Linked DNA regions of Drosophila melanogaster. Changing the gene in region 1 together with any one later gene gives a genetic interaction. Each region holds a gene or a part of one and is shown in the gene's direction. Other genes may lie near its edges.

Region 1 (10,526 bases):
GACTTCCTGCTGCAGTTGCTCGTTAGTTGCGCAATGAACTTCAACTTCAAATTCGCAAATGTTCGGCTGCGGCGGGGACAAAAATATCTGAAATCCATATCGGAAATGAACCCGTTTTTGGCAGTTTTTGGTCGATTTCTATTATGCTTTATTTGTGTGTCTAGTTGAGAGGAAACTGCACGGCATGATTCAATTTGGTGCAATACATGGGATATGGAACGCCAGCCAGCTGGGCAGGAAAAAAGTGAAAGCATCTGGCATGCTTGGATTTATATATTTGCCTAGCACTCCAGCAAGGGGCATCTCCATTTTTCATACCCCTTTTTTGCACCACTGTCAAAATATAATACTGCCGAGATTATGGCTATGATGCAATCGAATCGGCCTATTCCGACAAATTGAGCAACAGCTGCTGCCGCGATCTCGTCCTGTTCGTTGCCTGTTTCGAATGTTTATTTTCGAGGCGAACGCACAAGAAATACGCTGGCGTGTGGCGCTGTCATGGCTGAAATTGCATTTTGTAAAGCGGTGCGTCCACATTTTTCTCAGGTGCCGTGCCGCTTTAATTGTGCCCCGTTTGAATATATTTTATTGAATGTGCAATGCAATTTCATTACTTATTCAGACGGACGGACACATAGCGCGATACTGCGACCACTTGGACACACATGCATGAGCAGGCTGTCATTAAGCGTATGTCACTATTTCACCATTTTCTCGTTAACTTGACCCGCGAGCTGGCTCGCTTGACTTGCCCCGTGACTTTTGGGCCATCCTCGCCCGATTGGCCAATCTGCCGCTCATCTGGATCGCCAAGGTGCCACATCGATTAATGGGCGTCCTAAATGAGCTCGTTTCCCTCTCGATTAATAACTATTAGGTTAATTGGATCAAGTCGTTGGAAAAATGGCACCTTAATTACTTAAGCTCTGTGATTTTCATTTGGCACTTCAAATTAACAGTTTAGGCTTACCTAATGTTCGCAAAGTTTGTGCTAATATGATACATAAAATGATTAAAATTAAAAGAGGAAGTATATTTGCTCATTAAAGCTAATCTACGCACATATTAACAGGTATTCAAAGCTTTACAAAGTTAATCATACTACAACTATTGCAAGACATTGTGAAAAGTCTTGACCTTTTCCAATGTATCAATTCTCAGACAAACGTATGATTCAATGTTTACTAATAAGTTGTAACTTTAGCCGTTTCGCTGAAAGTAATTAATGAAGTTAGTTAAGGCGGTGCTAACTTAAAATTTTACTGCTAAATGGATTTCAAATTAACATTTAGGATAGTGGAAGCTGAAATTATATACATTAACTTAGCTCATAAAAATACAATTTGGAAACCTCCTAAATATATGCACCACAAGCTTAATAGATCCCTAAAGTATGCAAGTAGATTTAAACAAGTTTGATGCAATCGTAATATATTGAAATGGTTTGTTCAGTTGAGGATTTAATTGATTTCTGAGAATTTTAGATTGTTTAGAACAGATATGTATGGGCATTACAATAATACAAAATTGCATCATCATGCAATTTAGTTATCTACTTACACAGCCCCCCTTCATTGCATTTTATTACGTACTAATTGATAAAGAAATTCTTATGAATCAACAGTGCAGCTGATGTTTCTACGAAATGGCCTCAACTCAGTCATTGGTGCATAATTCGGGGGAAAGGCTATGCTATGAGTAGATATGGCCAAGTAAAATGCATTCTGCTAAGAAGTTCCCGTTTTTCCATGGCGAACGACATCCACTTTGGGCCATAAACATAAGCACACAAGGTAGATCCATTCAGGCACGACTGCGTCAGATGCCGTTTACATGGCGATTACTTGCAGTGTGCGACTTAAAGATGCGGTTTTTTGTCCGCCGTTCTCGGAAATACCAATTGAGTCACCATCTTTCCCAAGCGCCTCAGCACGCTCCAAGGCGGCGACTGGCGGGCTAATTTAAGCGATTCGGATCTGCGGCTCCCATGACGCGTGCGCCAACGGAACTGGCGTTTGCGGCACCCGTTCGGAATATCAAATGTGTTAGAAATATTAGATGGGCTCCAACGTGGGGATAGTTTCATTGGTGGTGGTGCCGAGAGCAGAGCAGTTGTGCTCCGCGAGCTTTGATGCCGAGCTTTGGCCCGGCACCACTTTTACTTTCAGCAGCAACAAGTGCTGGCCGGCACCTTCTCACAGGTCAACTTGACCGACTGTGAGAAGCCCTACACTTGGCTAACATGGGTTTAGCCCGATAGAGAAGGTGGTAATCAACCACCCACTTGCCACAAAGTTTGGTTATTTTCAGCTCGGGGAAATTTCTATATTTTCGGGCTACCTATAAACTTGTTTTCTTTCTGGATTTAAATAAAAGTGATAATTCAATCGCTGCTTCTTTAAGTATACCTAATAAAAAAGCAATAAATCTCTAATCGCGTATGTTCAATAACAAGCGGACAGATAATAGTTAATTACTAAAATGGGTCGACGAAAAGGGCAAATTTGTACATAAGTGTTTATTAAGTACAGTATTCATTATTTCAAACGGAAACTTAATCATCCAAAATGCAGCTTTGATTGACTTCCGCAGATAACAAAGCTCTGACTTCGAGGCATCCAAACATTACTCTGTGGCTGCTCTAACTTTTTCGTAATATTTGTTTTAAAAAATTTTGCGATAACGAAGTTAATTTTTGGTGTCAAATGCCACTCAAACGATATGTACATTTTATGCAAAGCTTTATGGCAACTATGCTGATTAGAATGAATAAAATGTTTGTATGGAATTAGTTTTTGAAAGTATGTTTTTAACTTATGTGTTAAAATAGTACAATTGAGGGTTTGATATTCTTCTTAAAGCTCCAGTGATTTGTATTTGGTTTAACAACAGATGTAATTAAAAACGTTAGTCATTATAGTGTTAGTTTGATGTGCACTTACTTTTCTCCAAGTGTAATATGATTCAGATAATTCCGACTGGTAAAGTTTTTCGTGAAGCAGGCGCAATTAGTAGCACTGCTCGGAGTCAGCTGTGATAAAATCGCGGTCCGCTCGCCCAGACGTCCCGCTCCCTCGCACGACCCTCGCGCTCACTACCCATCCCGCTTCCACCGCCTCTGACCGGCGGCGTCTCGCTCGCGCACAGCGCCCGCTCCCGCTCACACTCTCGCAAGCTAGCTTAAAGCTGCACTTAAGCACTGAGCAATTGTTTGGGGGAGCAGACGAGTCGAGTCGGCGGCCTCTGGGCTCCACTTTTCATTTTCAGTTGCCTCCCAGACGTGCGCTCTCGCTGTCGTGTGTTCTCGATCGCGAGAAATCCAAATCGAAATCGCAGTCGAAATCGAACTTGGTTAATGCTTAACACTCTGCATGCCCGGGAGATATGGTGAAACTCTCGATCTGACCGGAAAATCCCAGCGCGCGTCGCTATAAACACTTAAGATCGGTGGCAGATGGTATCGGGCTTGAGGTCCATAAAAGCGCATTCATCTCGAGCTTTTCGTGTCACTCAAAGACGGCGCACAGAGCCGAAAAGTTGAAGACTCACATATCCTGCGATCAGCTACTTGGATAGCCCATTGCCCAGTTGCAAGCCAAATCGGTTATAAACGATATCAATATCGCGGCATTTCATCAGAGCAACCAAATCGAACCGATCCGAAAACGGTTCCACTAAAGCGGCGAGAGCGAAACTAAAGTGAAAAGCAAACCGACTAATTGAAGTGTCTGTCTGTGTGTCTCGCAAACGTGCAAAGGAAACAAACAAAACGGAATAGCCAACATATCACACAGAGCCACCGCACAAAATATTTATAAATAAATAAGAGGCAACAGTAACACCAGCTACCAGTATAAAGGCCCGGCATTAACATTTAGTCGTGCCAGTTTGTTTATTTTTTATATACGCAAAGCCCATAAAAAGAAAAAAACGCACAGATCACTAAAAAACAACAGCAGCCGGCGCTATAATAACAAAGTTGTAGAAATAAGAAAATTGGTATAAGACGCCACCGATCCGCCAATCACCTGCTATATACTATTACTAATCCCCGACGCAGACGTTCGCCGTCCGCAGAATCTATATATATTTATAAATCCAATTGATTAAGCCCGAGATCGAGCATGATGACGCCCATGTGGATATCGCTGTTCAAAGTCCTGCTGCTGCTGTTCGCCTTCTTTGCCACGGTGAGAAATTTACAATTTTACAAATTTCAAAACAGTCGAACCTCCATAAGGGAAACTTTCAAAAGAAGTTAAAGTTTTAAAATTTAAAGATCTTTGCGTCGAAACAATAATTTATTCCAAATCTATCTAATCTGATAAAAGGTTAAAGTCTCCTTGTCTTCTTAAGACAAGCACTTAAGATCTTAAGACTCCAGAACTTGATTTTTTGTTTATTTGAAACAGGTGCTCGCTTGTTCCAGTTATGAAAGTTCGACTGCATTTCTGTTTTTTTCTGTTCCGTGTTAATCTATGCTTAACATAACTGTCATTTCATTGCAATATATTTCGGGCTATGGGCTTTTTAGCTATTAAGATTTATTTTAGATTTTCCATAGTTGTTCTAGCAGTTCCATTAGCCGAAGGGCAGTTTCAAGTTTAAATTTAGTCACAGACTAGAAAACCTGTTCGCATTGCCAGCGGCAGGTTATGTGCAATTTTCATTCTCTATATGATAAATGCACATCATAGGCATTACAATAATATTAATTGACACAAACAATGCCAGACATTCTGCACACGACTTTGGAAGTAATTTACTGCCGGACAAATTGTATGATCATCTCTGTGAGAAAAGCAATTAGTTCGTATTAATGGCGTCGAATGTTAGAAAATCCGTTTGAAAAGCGCCCGAGAACTTTTGTCTTTCCGGTTTTCCGCGAATTCCGCAGCGGACCGGTTCTAAAGATCGTTTTCAGTTCTAGCTAAATTCCAATAGGTTCACGGAAAACCTAAAACTGTGATGGAAAAACGATCCAATGTTTGCCTTAGTTGCGTCTACGCCAAACACTGATGAACGCGTTTAAAAAAAGGTTGATTGCTAATTGATTGGGAAAAAACATTTCCGAGAAATCGCAAAAGTTCTCAGACAATCAAGTTCAGATGGGTTGGCACCTTAAAGCGGGTTTTCTACATGCTCGTCGAGACCCAATTTTAATTTGGGTAAATTCTGTTGACGATTCCATGGACTCTATTCAAGAATTTAAGCATAATAAAAAGTCTTGACGAGATTAGGGGCTATTATCAAGGCTTATTTATATCACTGCATATACATATATATATAACATAGAAATATTTTAAAGAGTAGCACTAAAAGTGCTGATAATTCTAAAATCGCCAAGCTATTTGCATAATTATGGTCCTCGGATTATCAATACATTAAAAGCAACTATTGGCTTGTTCTTTTATATAAATAACCTTCCGGTTGGATTATGTTGATTTTTATTCAGGATCGGCTTGCCTTTAGATTTTCCAATTATTCAGTCTTTATTGCTTGCGGAAGAGGGACATCCGTTTTCAAGTTGCTAAGCTAGAGGCAACTCTCGAGGGGATTATCAACTCTGATTTTGGACTCTGGCTGTTGTTATATGTATATAGGTTCGGGTCCTAACTCAACGGAACTATAGAATTGCGAGAGAAAACTGCGCTTGCCCGAAAAACAGCTGTTCAAACCTTTTGAATACGCAAATGTAGTGCCCGACAATAGAGAGAGAGAGAGAGAGAAGTCTGGGTTGACAAACAAACGAGCCCGAGCACCGACCCACGAATATATACTCCGTTGTCTTGGCAATGTTGATGAACTGCAAACAAAACTCTCACCTGTATCTTTCAGATAGTTTATATCAATATCGAATTAACGAAGCGACACGAGGCCGAGGTGAGGGCAGAGAAAACAGTGGCAGACTATAAGGCCCTTTTGGCTACCATTAACAATGGCGGACCCGGAAAGTCAGCATCTAATCACTTACAGGTGTGAGCACAGTGTCCCCGAGTGTCCCGAAACAGACCCAGTTGTATCGTTATGCTTAACACCTTAATAGCCTTAATTTGTCTGTGGTGTGGTCAAAACTTCTGAACCGAGACTAAAGTCTATTGTCTTGTCTTTTTATTTCGCCATTTTTGCTACAGTACGAGGCCAAGGAGTATGAACGTATCATCAAAGAGCTTTTTACAATAACCAATGATGAGGGAGTTGTCCTCTTTAATGTAAGTGTATACATAGGCAAATGCATGATTTCTCTGTAAAATGTGTCTTTGATGTGAAACGCAATTCATAGCTTCAAGGACGAATTGGTGCGCTGCTTTCTTATAACTACTCTTCATCCTATATTGCATCCCCATTTCACTGCTCATTTGGTTTCTTATTGGGTTGTGTGTTGTCTTTGTGCTTCCTTTTTTTGCCAATTGGCTAAAGACTAACACGAGTAAATTTTACCCGTACAGACGTCCGCGGACAGTGCACCCTTCATGCCCATACCCACCCAGCACGACGATCCGACCCAGAAACAGAAACAGAATCAGAATCAATCTCCGATACCCGAAACGAACCGCCATTACCATCAGTATCACAGCCTGATCCAACCAGATCAGTACTTCAAAGTGCAGCGCTCCCCGAATGGAAAGCTGAATCTGGTCTTTAACGATACGTTCGTATCTTTGCAGAGGACGGACACGGAGGTGCAATCCGAACAGCCGATACCCCCCCGACATCCATCGGATAGTAAGTACTAAGTATTTTAGCCTATATATGCTCAGTTACATTCGATACCCAAACATGCCTTACAACTAACTACTAAATCGATCCCATACTCACTGGCCAACTGCCTTTGGCGCTTGCCTAATTTTAGCCTTTGTCTTCCCCGATTCCCCCATAGCCAAGTATCGGCCACCACAATCCCCAGCTCGTCCTTTGAGGAATGACACTAAAGAGCACAATCCCTGCGCCAAGGATGAAAGCCAACACCTTAGAAACTTCTGCACGAATGTGGACGACTATCCGGACCTTTCAGGCCTCACACATAAGCTAAAAAACAACTTTGCCAAGTTCTTTAGCAACGATCTTCAGCCCACGGATGTGAGCTCTCGCGTTGGTGGCTCAGACGAGCGATTCCTTTGCAGGAGCATCAGGAAGCTGGTGTACCCAAAAAAGGGCTTGAGGGCGGACGACACCTGGCAGTTAATTGTCAATAACGATGAGTACAAACAGGCCATCCAGATCGAAGAGTGCGAGTAAGTTATAGCTTGAATCTATGATATATTCCATTAGCCTTGCTAATTGCCAAACCTTCCCTTCCAGAGGAGCGGATCAACCCTGTGACTTCGCCGCCAACTTTCCGCAGAGCTATAATCCAATCTGCAAGCAGCACTACACACAGCAGACCCTGGCCAGCATCAAAAGTGATGGCGAACTGGACGTGGTGCAGAATTCCTTCAAGATCCCTTCCTGCTGCAAGTGCGCGTTGAAGACTGGGTGATTCTGGAAAATGGGATTCTCCAGTCGATGGCTGCGACAATGTGATATTGAGGTGAGGCCACGATTTATTCGTACATTAAATTTTAAAAATAGGTACAGAACAGAAACGACTGACTACCAAGAAGTAGAGGATTTCAATGAATCCTTGCGACTTAAGGCGAACGCTTCACTTGACCAACTTGCGCAGGGTCCAGCCGACGGCGTAGAATCCCACCAGCTTTAGGGCCATTCCCTTGCTTTCAGCCTTCACCAAATGCTTAAACTTGTTCTCGAAATTGCCAACGACGCGATCCATCGGAATGAGATAGTATAATGTCTGCAATTCAGAAGTCTTGAAAATATGTTCGAATGCGGATTTTCGAACTGTGCTTTATCAAGTATTGTACTTAAATTCAAGAATAATGTTTCTTGTGATTCGAAGAGTCAAACTTTTCAGACTGAGACTACAACTCTAAATATGTATACAGCTTCATTGACATTATTTCCTTGTTAACTAGACCAAAAATATAAATTGTATCTCTTCTCTTTGCAGCAAGAAGTTTCACCCACCACAGAATGGCAGGCCAAACTGATCAGTGGTCATTGATTTATTCTATAATCTGCTGAATCCACACATAGACCAATGTGCATATTAATTTAGAGCTTTAAGTCGAGTCATTTTAACCATATTCGTGTCATATATTCATTTTTGACTTCCACGTCTAATGCCTAAGCTAGAAATGCAAGTAATTAGTCCTAGAATAAAAACAAAACAAAACACAAAACACAAAAAAAAAAACAAGAAAGATAGAAATAACGATTTGAAAAATGTATGTTAAAAAAAGATAATGTATAATAAATGTATGCAAGTACATGCCAGCAAAGTAAAGTTCTTTGAACCCATCAGCGAGTACCTGGTGGACAATTTATTTGCTTATTAACAATAATTCGGTTCGCCCCGCTGCGCAAACCAATTACACCCTAGTGAGTGTAAACACATTCCCCCAAAGGGGTGGTGGTTGGCTTTCACCGGCAAAAGGATAACATGCATCGACTTCGGCTTCCTGGCGCTGGATTTTTCCAACTGTCAGCGGGGCGTATGCGCGATGTGTCTTGAGGTGCTGGCGCTGGCACATGTGGAAATCAATAGTATTTATCGATTCCCAGACACAATAAACTATGTCAAAGTTAGGCCGAACAATGCGAATGCTTGTGGATTCGTTGTGGGCGGGCAAAGTGCCACAATTTAATTACTATTATTAGGTATCCTTCCCGTTTGGCCAAATCCAGTGTCGTGCCCTGGTCGATTGGGCATTGGCCAGGGTCATCAATCATGCACATCCCCAACAGCCACACACAGCCGCGTCCATATCAATTAGCAACTATCCATATATCTCCGCCCACCGATTTTATATATGTATATATATAATCGTAGAGTTTGGATTGCCCTTTGTAATGTACTTTTTCTCATTACGCCACTGGCTCCGTTGCGCGGATTGTGGTCACTTGGCGTCCCTTCGTGTTCTGTTCTGATTCACTGTGGAAATACACTGGAACTTGTATTCGAACGCCGCATACCTCAGATTAATACCTTAATCACTTAGCAATACTAGTCAGGTTGCACGACAAAGGTGCACGTTTAATACATAATCACAGTCAGCGTTTACACATCTGTATATTAAGTACGCCTGCGTTATCGGTGCTAATTACTTCTAAATCATTTGTTAAGTAATGCTCCATATATAATATTGCTGTATATTAGCTACAAACCATTTCGCGAAACGGAGCGACCCTAGCCCTAATGGATACAATGGAACTAAAAACAAGGATATGGACAACATGCAGGACAGTCAGACAGTGTCGGCGTTTTTGGGTGGGAATGGAGATGGGCTAGTGGGTCGCATTGGTGGCTCGTAATTGCCGCAGCACATTTGCATGGCCGAAGGAGTTAATGGGGGTTGCCTGATTTGTTTGTTGGTAGTACTATTGCCATTGCCAGCCAGCCAGCCAGCCGTGTTGTTGTTATTCGGTTGCTGGCTGACTGGCTGGTATAAATACGTTCTGTTGACGACGCCCGGGCTCCAATACGCCGGTAGTCGCTGCTTTAGACCAGTCAACCGCTGCACTGGCTCCACTTCGAGTCGATTTTTCCAGAGTTCTAGCTCCAGCTCTCGTTTCGGCCCCACATAATGCCAAATTATGCAACTGCCTACTGTTGGCAGTAGCGGATAAAAAAGGCAAACATTCCGGCTAATGAGCAAACGATAAAACCGATAAACCGTTTCCACTTGGTCACCAACTATTCCCTGCGTCAGCGCAACATGTGGGCGCTGTGACGTGCATTCGTAAAAGGCTCATCACCCGGCGGCTCATTGATATGCCCCGAAGTGTCTAGGAAAATCACCGGCAGACTGCGTTAAAAGAGCAGAAAAATCACACGCAATATGCAATAATCAGGGGCTTTCCACTGGACTGACTCATGACATGACTATGGAGGATCGCAATCGCATCTGGACCACGGGCAACATTAACCATGGCTTCTTTGGCGACAATCTGCAGCAGCAGCCGTTGCCCCTGCAGAGATTGCAGACACCAGGTAGGTGCCTTTCGTTTTAAGAATTAAACCATTATATAAACATGTATGTATATTAGTAAAGATTTTATTTGAAATCACTTTTGCCCGTTGCAACAAGATATATTCATCTTAAAATGAAAGGACTGTATTCTGGGCAACAACACCTAATGACTGTAACTTTAAAAAAGCAAATTAGCAAAAGGTGACTTTCAGTCGTATACCTAAAAATCTGTTTTAGATTACTTGTAAAAATTTGTAAATTTTCCTTTATTGCTAAATGCATTCGTTACTAAATGAGTCATGTTCATTATTTAAACGTATGTGGATGTTCATATACATATCGAGTATAATAAGGTAATTTATGGTACTGGAATCTGCCTAATAACCAATTTAAATCGTCAACCGCAAATCCGTATGTCGTGGAACTCAGAAAATGACTAAACCGATTTACAATGTGTGACGTGTAGATGCAATCTACGGAAGTACCCAT
Region 2 (6,323 bases), on another chromosome or scaffold:
CGAAAACAAAATGCGATCTATACTAAATCTGTGCAACCAATCTTGTCTGTCTTTTCAGGTGCCCAACCGAATACTTCGGCAATCGTTGCGAGAACAAATGGCCCGACAGTAGGTACAGCTCTCCCGAATCATGCAAAAATTATCAGGGAGGTTATTACTGCTAAAATAGGCACTTCTATAGCATCGATTGTTTTGCGAGTCGAGTCAAACGCGAGTTATACACAATACCTAAACCGAATCCAATCAAATTAAATCAAATCAATCAAACCGAACTCAGTGCCCATACCAAAATAACGAATAACATAAACTATTATAAAATGAAATACGATAACGTACTACAACCTAAAATGGAATGGAATGGAAAATCCAACGAAATTCCCATTGCACAGTTCACAGCAATCCTATCACATTGAAACTTTCTGCAAAGCATCCGAGAACAGAGAAAGTGAAATAAACCAAATATAGTTGATAAAGCCACAAACACAGCCACACACAATCATACAGACAGAAAGTACAAAAACAGTATGCAGAATCGGACCAAAATCTAAACTCCAGACACCCACCCAATCACAGACACTCCACACACACAGACCCCCAACTATCAACAGTCACTTTGTAAAACGACGAACTAAAAGTTTTATTAGAGAACACATTCCAAAAAGAAACAAAGTAAAGTCTTAGTAATGAAAACAAAGAGTAAACGAAATAAATAACTAACCAAGTTGTTCATAATATATATAATTTTATAAACTAAAAAACATATTAAGAGCAATCAATAAAAACGAGAAGAATGCAAATAAATACGAATAAAAACAAAGGGTGCTATAGAAGGTTTATTTTAAATAGTGTTTACATAGGAACTTAATTTAATTTCAATTCACTCATCACACGAACCACACCAACCAAAACCACAAGTAAATGTAAAACAAAAAAACAAAAAACAGCAAAACAAAACAAAATAATCAAGCAACTCGGACATACGGACGGACAAGCGGACGGACACCGGACAACAGGAAAATTTGACTAAAAAGGGACATTTCCCCCACAAAGTACTGAGAAACTTGTCGAATCCTTTGGCTCAGCCCACACTTACTCACCCACTCACACTCAATATGAATATCCAGATTTACGATAAAAATCAACAGAGGCTCTCTTAGTTAGATACACGAATATCAACACGCATAAACGCTGGCAAGTTAGTTACAAAAAAAAACAGCACTCACCCACAAAGGCATCGAACTGACTAAACATTTGAAACGGGAACTGAATTTTGTTTTGTTTTCAGTGTTATTATTTGTAGTTTGCAAATATTAAAAACAAACCACATTCGATAACCCATTAGAATTTATGATTTTCAATTAATTTAAGTTATTACTCGTTATTAGACATTAACACTTGGCTGTAGATTTTGACAAACCAAAAAAAAAATACACCGAAAAGAACCCAATTCAAATCAAATCAAACAAACCAACAATTTCATTCTGCTCCTCGTTTTCTTTTATTTGGTGATTGTTTTTTTTTTTTTTTGTATTTTTTCTTTTAACTAATCTCCTGCGTTTCCGATTTGGGTAACTCTGTTCACTATTACTTCCTTAGTTTGTGCTCGTTTCCTCCTTAAGTGTAAACTCCACGGCAAAGTGAAATCTTGAGCTCGAATGAACCCAAAATAAAAATATATACATACATATATCAAATCACTAATTTTCAAGTAGTTCTTGCTAAAGACCTTCTCTTCAATATCCTTCTGCATGGATTTTTTCATTTGAGAGCGCAATTTTATGCTTGTAGTTGCCCCTAATTGTGGAAATGGTGTTAGCCAGCTTTTAGTTAGCAGTAAATGAAGAACTGAAAGATTAATTTTTAATTTTATTTATAATTTAATCTCTTCACAGATATTTTGTTGCAATCTACGGCCAAATACATACCTTAAATAACGACTATTAATGCATAGAATTTTGTTTCATTATTTTTATGATTTTATAAACAAAACGAAAAACAAAAAAAAAATCGAACTCCCTGCACTCCAAAAACGTGGACAATTGTAATTTTTTACGTTTATTAAAAAATTAGAGAATTTGTTGCACCAGCTGACCATGCCCAAAAACCCATCACCGTTCTCAAAGTTTGCAACTACAAAGAATACATATCCGAAAACAGAAAACAGAAAACATTTCAAAATTCGTACAATTCCCCTCGCCTAGAGTTCCTTCTTCCCGAGCGAAAAGTTCCAGATCCAGACTGACTTTAGCTACGTTTGTTCTTGTGCACGGTGACAGAATATCTTAAATGTATAAATCGGATGTATGAAAGCTGAGCAGAATTTTAAATTATTTATTTTACGAAATATATCACATACATATAACATCTAAGATCGAAGTTTGCGGTTCAAAGTTCGAGAGCAAAGCATTACCGATTCGACCCTGACTTTGACATTGTTGCGCTTTTGTTGTTGTATCATAGACAATAATTTTAAAATGATAACAAAGGTTGACGTAGCCGAGAACTTTGTAATAAATCCTGTAAATAGCTCTCGTTTTAACTAACGATAAGTTTTGTGTACATTTCAACTAAGGTAATGCAAGCCCTTCTTTAACCGTAATTTATTGTATTTAATTACACCTAAATTAAACGTAATTATAGCTATAAGCTCACACACACACACACACACACACACGAACACCCCACACAGACACCATGGAGCTACTTAATTTCGAAATACTATTTTATTTGTCCTCGTTTTTTTTGGATTTGCGCAATTTCAACACCAAAATATGTAAAATGGCAAATTAGTTTTTATTTCTTCACAATGTGTATGTTGACATCAGTTTGTATGGCTAGGCGTAAAGCAAGAAAGTGCGTAGAGATTATTTTTAGTTATTTTAAGTGGCAAATTTTTTATATATTTAATTATTGAAAGATTTATACCAAAAATACCATGTAAAGTTTAATTTTAATTTAAAACAAAACATTAAACAAACAAAAACGAAAAAAAAACAACAAAAACAAACAAAACGATGCGTAAGAAAAAACTTAATTAAAAATTTGCAAATAATTCACATTTTACAAACATCGATTGCTTTTTGATTTGGTCTGATATTCTGTTCTTGTTCACTGTGGCTTCTTGTACTTCGTTTATGATTTGCTGCTCTGCTTTTGCTGATCTTTTCTGTCAAATCAGAGGGCAGAGTAATCAAGGCTCTGACGAACCGAGCTAGGTTTTGGATAGCATAGATTAACTGGGTCCTCTATTGTTCTGGCTATATCAAAGTCTTGTCTTATTTTAGTCTCTTGGCAGGAATACGATGAACCGGATGGAACCCATTAGGCCGAACCACGCGGAATTACTTTTGCGCTCAGAAATGGATCTCATGCTTAGATTTAGTTTACACAAGGATGGCCAATAAAATTCTGAATTTGTTGCAATCAATAATTGTGTTTTGATTTTATTGCGCAAATAAATTGATGAATTTAAATATGCCGCCCTTTGGGAATTGCTTGGCAGCACTGGTCGGAGTTAGCCATCCCTGGTTCCACCATCCCTGGTCGCATAGCCAATACACACACCAAATATAGAAATATACTGAATTTAGCGAGTACATTCACCGATATTTATCGATATATTGCAGACAAACGTATCGAATGTATATCGAGCTTCTGTCATCTCTGCTAGTCAACACCTTTCAAAAATAGCGGCAATTTAGCAAATTGTTAATTTCTCTCCCACTTAAATCGACTTAAATCAACATGTCAACTGCCCAGGCGACCAAAAACTGCATCACACTCAAGGGCTCCGCTCAGATTATTGTGGAATACCTGAGTGAGTAGCAAGCTACGTCACGAAAGCGTCTGTAAGTTCGCCTGCAATGGCGTCTCTGGTTCTTTTTTTTTCCTAAATAGAGTACGGCATCAATTCGATCCTCTTCCAACGCGGAATTTACCCAGCCGAAGACTTTAACAACACGCAGCAGTATGGGCTAACCATTCTAATGTCCAAGGATCCCAAGATCAAGACCTTTCTGCAGAACGTGCTCAGCCAAACTGAAGGTTAGTGGTCTTTTGGAAAAAATTCAAGTTTATGGTGACCATTATTTGTATTCACCTATAGAATGGCTCTCGAAGAACATGATCAACAAGATCTCGATGGTCATTACGAACGCCCACACCAAGGAGGTGCTCGAGTGCTGGGACTTTAATATGCAGGCCGAGTTGGGCGATGGCGATATCAGTGATCCCACCAAGGCAACAACCACCAAGGAGCTGAGTCGCATACAGAACGAGATTCGCGACGTTATGCGGCAGATCTCGGCCACCGTGAGCTATTTGCCACTGCTCGATTGCATCTGCACCTTCGACATAATGATTCACACGCTGCAGAACACCGAATTACCGGCCAAATGGGACGAAACGGGTGCCATTGTCATACAGAATCCGCAGGCCGTCCAGCTGCGCTCCTTTTCTACAGGACTGCACAAGGTGGACACCGTGGTCAACTACAAGATGAGCACTTAAAAGGCAGTACCGCCTCATCCTAATGTTTAAATATTTATTTCGTTTCTATATTTACAATAGTGCGTAACGAACGTAACGTATTTGAGAGTTGCATTAAAAGCCAGTTGTGAAAAGCTAACAGTTGCTAAGTAGTAGTTTGGTTGGCCGCAGGGGTCGTCTATTTGTCTGTGTGTCTCAAATGCAATCTGGAGGACGAAACAGAGTGAGAGAGGGTAGCATTTGTTAGTGGAGCGCAACGCAGGAAAGGGCGTTTGTCTGGGCGACAGCTACCTATCCTAAGCAGCGCTTAGTCGTCAAGTCTGCGAGATAGACCCAAGTATCTAGTCTGTACCGAAGTATTTCTGGCCAAAGTGATTAGGTGCCACGGGATGCAGCTCGGAGGTGAGGATCTTCAGCTTGGGGAAGGCATTCACTACGGTCCGAGCGGCAATGGGTGTGCAGAAGAGATTGGACAGGATGATGCAGCTCTCGGGTACGCCGTGTTCCCGCAGCACATTCACCGCCTGCAGCACAGTGTTGCCCGTGGACATGATGGGGTACATGAGTAGCACCTGCCTGCTGCCGATGTCATCGGGAAAGCGGGCATAAACCACGCGGGCCTCATGCGTATTGGCATCGGACTCGACCAGGATCTTTCCAATGCGAATGGAGCGACAGCAGTCACGCAGTCCCTGCTCCATGGCCTCTCCCGATCGGATGATGGACACGCCGCAGTTGCCGGAGCGATACTTCAGTCCCTCGTAAATCGCACCGGTGGGCGTCTCCACATCGCAATGGGTGTAGGGCAGTTGGTTGAGCGACTCCTCGATGACCAGCCGGATGAGACGGTCGGCATAGAACTTGAAGTCACTGCGCGTGGTGTTCCTGGGGGGTAGAATTTTGTTGTACTGCTACTACGCTGCTGACTCCTCCTCCCCAACGTCACCTACTTGTCGCGCAATATGGTCAGCAGTTCGGCCACCTGGGAATTGCACTCGAGTAGCTTCAGGTTGCTGCCGTACTCCGCCAGGATCTCCTCCGATGTGGCAGCTGGCACCGCGGCATGTGCATGCGTGGGAGTGTGCAGCTGTTGCTCCTGCTCCTGGGCTTCCTGCTGCGGCTGCTGGTGATCTGAGGAACTGCTGCCCTCCTCCGACTGGGAGCCGCTGCTGCTGGGCGAGCCGGTGCGCATGACTCGGCTATTTGGTTGCTATCACTGGCTACATAAAATAAATAAATTAAAAGAATTGTACGTAGCACTTTGTCCTCCTAGCGCGTGCTTGGCTTGCTACGGCCACACTTTGTCGCGGCATTGCCGTTCGTTGCGCCTCGGTAATTTCTAGCAATTGGCAGTTAGCGCACGACTGGCCACACTCAGCAAATCACCTCGTGTTTCACTCGCAAACAAAGAAAAAAGTGCATTTTAATTACTGATTACTGCATTGCGATTAGGCGTTCGCGAACAACAACGTTTTCTTGCACATCAGCGGACTCAAAGGGCGCGCGTGGGCAAGGCATTGAGCACAGTGTCTGTGTGCGTGAGTGTGGGTGCGTTGTGCGTGCGTCGCAGTGTTGGTGCGTGTGCCCCCATGTGTGTGTGTATTTGTATTGCCATTAACTAATAAACAATAACCTTCGGGCCACGACGAAAGCCACGAAATCGGCACCGCTGCTGTTCTGTTCTGTACTGTTCCATCTGAACCAACCAGCTGAACAAGGAGACTCATAGCCAGAGACTAAAATAAATCGCCAACGCGCTTCCGCCCCCCCGCGAGAGGAGCGCCCAGTTCAGGAGCGGACCAGCGGCGATCCACTTCCCATATCCATATCCAAAC
Region 3 (7,806 bases), on another chromosome or scaffold:
TTTAACAAAAATAAGATACTAATAACCATTTTTTTTTATTGATTTAAAGATCACAATCAATATTTTTTCTACATAAAAGAAAAAAAAGACTTGCTGTCAGCTACACCATGCTTTGTGTCACTCAAATGCCATTGGATTCTATTAGACATTTTTTGTACAAGTGTATTTGGAGATTAGGATACCCCCATTTTGCCCGCCCTCATGACAGACACTTTTTATCCTGTCCGTATCTTTTGGATGCGGATCCCCGACTAGTTGGACAGATAGCCTAGGAAAATTTTTAGCTTTAGTTTGCTGCTAATGAGCAATTCATGTCAATTGCTAATTAGTGCGCTGGAGATTCCTATCCGCCTGTCTGAGCTGCCTGAAATGCCTCACTGACTGACTTATCCTATCTGGCTATCTGGGCACTTTTATGGCCCAAAGAAGCTCCGAGCTCCAAGCTCCAAGTCAGCGAGACACAATGGCCGAGAAATTAGCAAACCCATGGCAAGATAAGTCAATTAGGTTTGGCTTTATAGCTGCTGCTAGTGAAAACAAAAGGAACAGAAAAAGGCAGGCGAAGGCCGGCCAGTCGAAGGAAAACCAAATCAAATAAAATGAGGCCAAAATAAAGGCAACAATTAATAAACGCAAACAGAGTGAAAGAGAAACGACAAACGAGGACGAGCCAAAGCTGCCAAAAAGGATAGCTGAATGGGTGAATCCGATGGGTGTGGGTGGGGATAAGGAACATCGCATTGGGTGGGTACTGCAAGGATGTGGGGCAATGGGCGGTAGGTGGTGGGTGTTGGGTGGTGTTTGCCTGTGACGTGTATGGGCAATTTAAGCTGGCATCAGACAAGCAACTGACAGGAGGGAATCGAGTCCGATGCTCTTGTTAACCAGACCTGCGGTCCCCAGAGACGCAATTGTTACATTTAATTGTGATTTTTGTGCCCCCTCCTCATATATAGACACACTGAAAAACATAAAAGTAAATATTTAGTAATCAAAATGGATTGGAATATGTAATCCCATTTTCACGTAAAACGCGGAATGTACGTCAAAAAATTGTTATAGCGTAGGCTTGTTTAATCTAAGACTCACTTTGGTGTTTTGATTTGAGCTTCCCATTTATCCATGGCAGACCTAATGATATTGAGTTGCTTCAACAGATTGAAAATTTTTTACAGTGCACCCGTAAAGCTGCTTGGGCGCCATAAAATATGCAACCTTTCTTTCTAGCTTTCCCCCTTGGCTTTGAGTGAAAGTAATCCGAAATGCTGTCATTAGGCCGAGTCCATAGCACAGAGCCACAATTAAGATTGACTTGAAAGCCGTCCAGGCGTCAGGCTAATACCACGACAAGGACATCTACTATAGCCGGCAAACCAATCCAATCTGCACACCGAGAGTTATGGCTTTGTCGAAAAGTGGACTCCGATTCAGCTCCGCTTTGCCCAGCCTCTGGCTTTATCTACTGGGTCATTTCTCATAATTTTCCACAGCTCGAGAATTATTGCAAAAGTTAATATTAATGACGTTGATGAAAATCTTGTCATTCGTGTTACCGAAAAAAAAAAAAAAACGAAGCGAAAGAAACCCACGTTATGGGGCACATAAATAAAGGAGCTGCGACCAGGACCACGGACAAAAGCCAGAAGCGTTCACCAAATTGATAACTACCGAAAAAAGAATACCAGGCCGGGGAAGAAATATTCCTTCTTGGTTGCATGTGCCACCACACAAAGGAAAGCGAGCCACAAAACCTCGTCCTTGCCGCCATTTACATTTGAAAGAGCCTGCGAAAGCCTGAAGGTGAGTAAAATAAGGGGTGCACTGAAGGAAAATCTTGTGAATAAAACAGTAATACATCCCTGTACAAGAGTAATTGGTAAAAGAAAAACATCATGTGCCTAAATAACTAATATTTTTAGCGAATATCTTACTGAGAAAATCTCTCAAATTAAGACTGAACTGCAATAGTTTTCTTCACTGTGCAGGAGGCTTATTAGACTTGGCTGCTGTTCGTGGCTCTGCTGCTGCTCCTGCTGGTGATATAATTTTAATAACTTACATAATATATTCTTTTGTGTGGCCAAGCCACATAATTGTTAGAAACATTAGGCAAATCATTACCCCAGCACGAAAAATGGGTGGGAGGCGTTCTGTTGGCTGACGCAATTTGGCAAAAATGTTTTTGTGTTTGCTTTTAGTGGCGACAAAAAGATCCTTAGCCACAACACCCATGGATATGGGAAAACTTTCAAGCCAGCTAAGAAATATTAGCCCAAGATAAAGTGTCCAGGGCAGCTGTTTTTCTTGGGAATTAGTCATGAAAGACCCGAAGTTTATCAAGGTTACCATGCCGTGGTAATCGCCATTGAATTTGTTGGCGGTGATCCATCAATATTTCTGCTTTCACCCAAATATTGAACAATCAAAATACATACATGCCGGAGGTTAACGAAATAAGGAACAATAGACAGTCTTCTTTGTAAATTAACCCTTGGAAAATTTCCTTGATAGATTGATTTCTTTTTCGAGATACCAGGACTACTTTAGGTAAGATTATAATACATTCATCAAAATCATAGGCGCGTGAAGCAAAAATTGTATATTTATTATTTGAAGTAGTAAAATGTTCCAAGTGTAATTAATCTCAAAGAAATATTAATTTAAGTCCAAAAGACAATAACATAATTCAAAATTTAAGTAACTACAAAAATCTGAATTTGCAGTGTGCGATTTAAGATATCCTATAAAAGGAGCTTTTTATAAAAACTCTGCTCACGAATTTTCATATTTGCTATTTCCAGCATCTCCCAATCGAGTCTAACCAAGTCCTTGCATAACTTTCCGGATTTGAGAACGAGGAATCCACAGAAATCCCCACACATCCAAAGCCCAACGAAACCCCATAATGCTGGCCCATAATCATTATCATTAACCTGATGGGGAAGACAGTTTTTTGCTGCTTTGCTGGGCGAAAAAGAAGTCATGAAACCACAGGAATTGTTACATGAGGCGCAAACAAAACAGTTTAATTAAAATTATTATTGTAATTTAATGGAATGTGAGGAATTATTATTTTTATACGGGTCTGGGCCCACGAAACAGGAGCAAAAAGCAGCCGAAGGACCTTCTCGGCACACCGACACACACATGCACATGGCATAAAAATAAATTACGTTTGTATGAAGATTGGCGCTGGCCCATGCACATCATATATTTTCATTATCAAAACAGAGACAGCAGAGAAGTCGCCGGTTGGCGGCGGGGGGTGCGGAGCTCTATCTCCGATTCGGCGGCAAAAAAATAAAGGATATACGAAATACGACGAAAAAAGACAGAGAAAATCAAAAGGAAAACACGAACGAACGCCAGCTGTTCGATGCGATTAGATGGAGAGAAAGAAAAACATTTTCCAGCATCCGTCGAGCCAGAGCGAATTTCCCTTTAGTCATACTCTCCGAAAACTCTCAGCATTTCCCGCCCGTGCAGAGCCTGTCGGCTGCTCTTCGTCTGTTTTCCAGCCCCCTTCGGCTCGCGTTCGGCTTTTCGGATTTTCGGGGTTTCGAGTTCGTGGACGACTCTCCATTTAAAAGAGAAGTTGCGCACGTTGCGGCAGTCAGTCGAAAATCAGCCAACGTGCGCGTTACATTACGAACCGGAAAATATCGACGCTGCTGCACCGCTCAAGTCCCAGAAAAAGTGGGTTCAGTTCAGCCAAATGAAAAAGTGATAATAGAAGTCGAGCCCGCAGCTAAATTGAAATTCATCAAAGGTTCCTATAACGCGACGTGTAATAAACAAAAACTTCGAAGCGAGTAATTCAAAGCGCCGAAACGAATAAAAAAGAAAAATTTAAATATAAAGAGGATAGAAAAGGCCAAGTGCTAGAAAATGTGCCGGGTGTAAGAGAGAAGAAAACACGGAGAGCATAATTAACTAAAGAATCGGGGGAAAATAAAGAAAATCTGGCTTGGAGTAGAGGGAGCACAGAAGCCGAAAATATGTGCGCAGACTTTTCTTTGGCCAGCCAGTGGAATTGATTTTCTTTTCGTTTCTCCCCAAGACCCCCGCTTGTACCGTCTTTCCCCCCTCCGCAAACCCATTTTCCGGTGCCTCCACGCAGCTAAACCGTGAATCGCCAAAATGATCTACTATATGCTACTCATACTGCCCGTGGTCCTGGCCCAGGATCAGCAGCACACCACGGAATCGCTGTCCACCAAGCACCACCAGCAGCAGCAGCTGTCGCACTCGAATGCGATAATGGGTGAGGCTGGGGTCTCCAACTCGCAGCTAATGCAGCCCTCGACTCCGGCGCGAACCCTGCGACCCTTGACCGCGGGCGCGGGTGGTGACCCTTCGCTGTATGACGCCCCCGACGACTGTCACTTCATGCCAGCAGCGGGTCTGGATCAGCCGGAAATAGCCTTAACGTGCAACCTGCGCACGGTGAACAGCGAGTTTGACACAACCAATTTCAGTGTTATACCCGCCGAGCACACGATTGCCCTGCACATACTGTGCAATGACGAAATCATGGCCAAGAGTCGCCTGGAGGCGCAATCTTTCGCCCATCTGGTTAGGCTCCAGCAGCTGTCCATCCAGTATTGCAAGCTGGGGCGACTGGGTCGCCAGGTTCTGGATGGTCTGGAGCAGCTGAGGAACCTGACGCTCCGGACGCACAACATCCTGTGGCCAGCGCTGAATTTCGAGATAGAAGCGGATGCCTTCTCGGTCACTCGGAGGTTGGAGAGACTGGACCTCAGTTCGAACAACATCTGGTCCCTGCCGGATAACATATTCTGCACCCTGTCCGAGTTGTCTGCCCTGAACATGAGCGAGAATCGCCTGCAGGACGTCAACGAGCTGGGCTTCAGGGATCGCAGCAAGGAGCCAACCAATGGTTCCACCGAATCCACCTCCACCACCGAATCGGCCAAAAAGAGCAGTAGCTCAAGCACCAGTTGTTCGCTGGACCTGGAGTACCTGGATGTGAGCCACAATGATTTCGTCGTGCTGCCAGCAAATGGATTTGGCACTCTGAGGAGGCTGCGAGTCCTTTCGGTCAACAACAATGGCATCTCCATGATTGCGGACAAGGCTCTCAGTGGACTGAAGAACCTGCAGATCCTGAACCTGAGCTCCAACAAAATCGTGGCCTTGCCCACAGAACTCTTCGCTGAGCAAGCCAAGATTATCCAAGAGGTGTACCTGCAGAATAATTCCATAAGTGTGCTGAATCCGCAGCTCTTCTCGAATCTGGACCAGCTGCAGGCCCTGGACCTGTCCATGAACCAGATAACCTCCACCTGGATCGATAAGAACACCTTTGTGGGTCTGATTCGTCTGGTTCTGCTTAATTTGTCGCACAACAAGTTGACCAAACTGGAGCCAGAGATCTTCAGCGACTTGTACACCCTGCAGATTCTTAATCTGCGTCACAATCAGCTGGAGAACATCGCAGCCGACACTTTTGCCCCGATGAATAATCTGCACACGCTGCTGCTGTCGCACAACAAACTGAAGTATCTGGATGCATATGCTCTGAACGGATTGTATGTACTGTCGCTGCTCTCGCTGGACAATAATGCGCTGATTGGCGTGCATCCGGATGCCTTCCGGAACTGCAGTGCCCTGCAGGACCTCAACTTGAATGGCAATCAGCTGAAGACAGTTCCGCTGGCCCTGAGGAATATGCGCCATTTGAGAACCGTGGATCTGGGCGAGAACATGATTACCGTTATGGAGGATAGTGCGTTTAAAGGTCTGGGAAATCTCTATGGTCTCCGCTTGATTGGCAACTACCTGGAGAATATTACGATGCACACCTTCAGGGATCTGCCTAATTTGCAAATCCTGAATCTCGCCAGAAACCGCATAGCAGTTGTGGAACCGGGGGCCTTTGAGATGACCTCGAGCATTCAAGCTGTGCGTTTGGATGGCAATGAGCTGAATGACATCAATGGCCTCTTCAGCAACATGCCCTCCCTTCTGTGGCTGAATATATCCGATAATCGTTTGGAATCCTTTGATTATGGACATGTGCCATCCACCCTGCAGTGGCTGGACCTCCATAAGAATCGGTTGAGTTCCTTATCAAATCGTTTTGGTTTGGATAGTGAGCTAAAACTACAAACTCTCGATGTGAGCTTTAATCAACTTCAGCGCATTGGACCCAGTTCCATACCAAACTCTATCGAACTGCTGTTCCTGAACGACAACCTGATAACCACCGTTGATCCAGATACCTTTATGCACAAAACCAATCTGACCCGGGTGGATCTCTATGCGAACCAAATCACAACGCTGGACATCAAGTCCTTGAGGATTCTGCCAGTTTGGGAACATCGAGCTCTGCCAGAGTTCTATATTGGTGGAAATCCCTTCACCTGCGATTGTAACATTGATTGGCTGCAGAAGATTAACCATATAACATCGAGGCAATATCCAAGGATTATGGATCTGGAGACCATATACTGCAAGTTGCTGAACAACAGGGAGAGGGCCTATATTCCCCTGATCGAAGCTGAACCCAAGCACTTTTTGTGCACCTACAAGACCCATTGCTTCGCCGTTTGCCATTGCTGTGAGTTCGATGCTTGTGATTGCGAGATGACCTGCCCCACGAATTGCACGTGCTTCCATGACCAAACCTGGTCCACAAATATTGTGGAGTGCTCGGGCGCAGCTTATTCTGAGATGCCGAGACGTGTGCCCATGGATACCTCTGAGTTGTATATCGATGGCAACAACTTTGTTGAATTGGCGGGACATTCGTTCCTTGGTCGCAAGAACTTGGCTGTTCTCTATGCGAACAACTCGAACGTGGCCCACATATACAACACCACTTTCAGTGGCCTTAAACGCCTGTTGATCCTGCACTTGGAGGATAATCATATAATCAGTCTGGAGGGCAACGAGTTCCACAATCTGGAGAACCTGAGGGAGCTATATCTGCAATCAAACAAAATAGCCAGCATCGCCAATGGGAGTTTCCAGATGCTGAGGAAACTGGAGGTCCTGCGATTGGATGGCAATCGATTGATGCACTTCGAGGTGTGGCAACTAAGTGCCAATCCCTACCTGGTGGAGATCAGCTTGGCCGACAACCAGTGGAGCTGTGAGTGTGGTTACCTGGCCAGGTTCAGAAACTACCTGGGTCAGAGCTCGGAGAAGATCATAGATGCCTCCAGGGTGAGCTGCATCTACAACAATGCTACGAGTGTTCTGAGGGAGAAGAACGGTACCAAGTGCACTTTGCGAGATGGTGTAGCCCACTATATGCACACCAACGAGATCGAGGGACTGCTGCCCCTGCTCCTGGTGGCCACCTGTGCCTTTGTGGCCTTTTTCGGTCTGATTTTCGGACTCTTCTGCTATCGCCATGAGCTGAAGATATGGGCCCACTCCACCAACTGTCTAATGAACTTCTGCTACAAGTCACCCCGATTCGTTGACCAGCTGGACAAAGAGCGTCCCAATGATGCCTACTTCGCCTACAGCCTGCAGGACGAGCACTTCGTCAACCAGATCCTGGCCCAGACGCTGGAAAACGACATCGGCTATCGACTGTGCCTGCACTACCGCGATGTAAACATCAATGCCTACATCACGGATGCCCTCATCGAAGCCGCCGAAAGTGCCAAACAGTTTGTGCTCGTGCTGTCCAAGAACTTCCTGTACAACGAGTGGAGTCGCTTCGAGTACAAGAGTGCTCTCCACGAGCTGGTGAAGCGCAGGAAGCGGGTGGTCTTCATCCTGTATGGAGATCTGCCCCAGCGCGACATTGACATGGACATGCGGCACTAT

What was found. A genetic interaction does not mean that the proteins touch.
Region 2: of spz (region 1) and mad2, changing one suppresses a phenotype caused by changing the other (phenotypic suppression), as found in Drosophila melanogaster (one study listed by BioGRID).
Region 3: of spz (region 1) and Toll-6, changing one suppresses a phenotype caused by changing the other (phenotypic suppression), as found in Drosophila melanogaster (one study listed by BioGRID).

Annotation. Positions count from the first base shown.
Region 1 is NT_033777.3:27,062,811-27,073,336, reverse strand, and holds spz (spatzle), read left to right. Parts: upstream 1-3,266; 5' UTR 3,267-4,127; coding exon 4,128-4,193; intron 4,194-5,841; coding exon of another isoform or gene 5,842-5,979; intron 5,980-6,137; coding exon 6,138-6,215; intron 6,216-6,452; coding exon 6,453-6,729; intron 6,730-6,856; coding exon 6,857-7,238; intron 7,239-7,305; coding exon 7,306-7,483; 3' UTR 7,484-7,534; exon of another isoform or gene 7,535-7,648; coding exon of another isoform or gene 7,649-7,777; exon of another isoform or gene 7,778-7,901; intron 7,902-8,014; 3' UTR 8,015-8,249; downstream 8,250-10,526. Other genes in the region: CG43935 (uncharacterized protein), read right to left, coding at 7,649-7,777; CG34292 (uncharacterized protein), read right to left, coding at 10,474-10,526; Nep5 (neprilysin 5), read left to right, coding at 9,946-10,057. UniProt on the Drosophila melanogaster protein: The activated form, spaetzle C-106, acts as a ligand for the Toll receptor. Binding to Toll activates the Toll signaling pathway and induces expression of the antifungal peptide drosomycin.
Region 2 is NT_037436.4:5,810,436-5,816,758, reverse strand, and holds mad2 (mad2), read left to right. Parts: upstream 1-3,665; 5' UTR 3,666-3,744; coding exon 3,745-3,817; intron 3,818-3,897; coding exon 3,898-4,044; intron 4,045-4,105; coding exon 4,106-4,509; 3' UTR 4,510-4,624; downstream 4,625-6,323. Other genes in the region: vn (vein), read left to right, coding at 59-112, 1,893-1,944; kri (krishah), read right to left, coding at 4,684-4,694, 4,841-5,373, 5,439-5,680.
Region 3 is NT_037436.4:15,333,085-15,340,890, forward strand, and holds the start of Toll-6 (Toll-6), read left to right. Parts: upstream 1-3,607; 5' UTR 3,608-4,140; coding exon 4,141-7,806.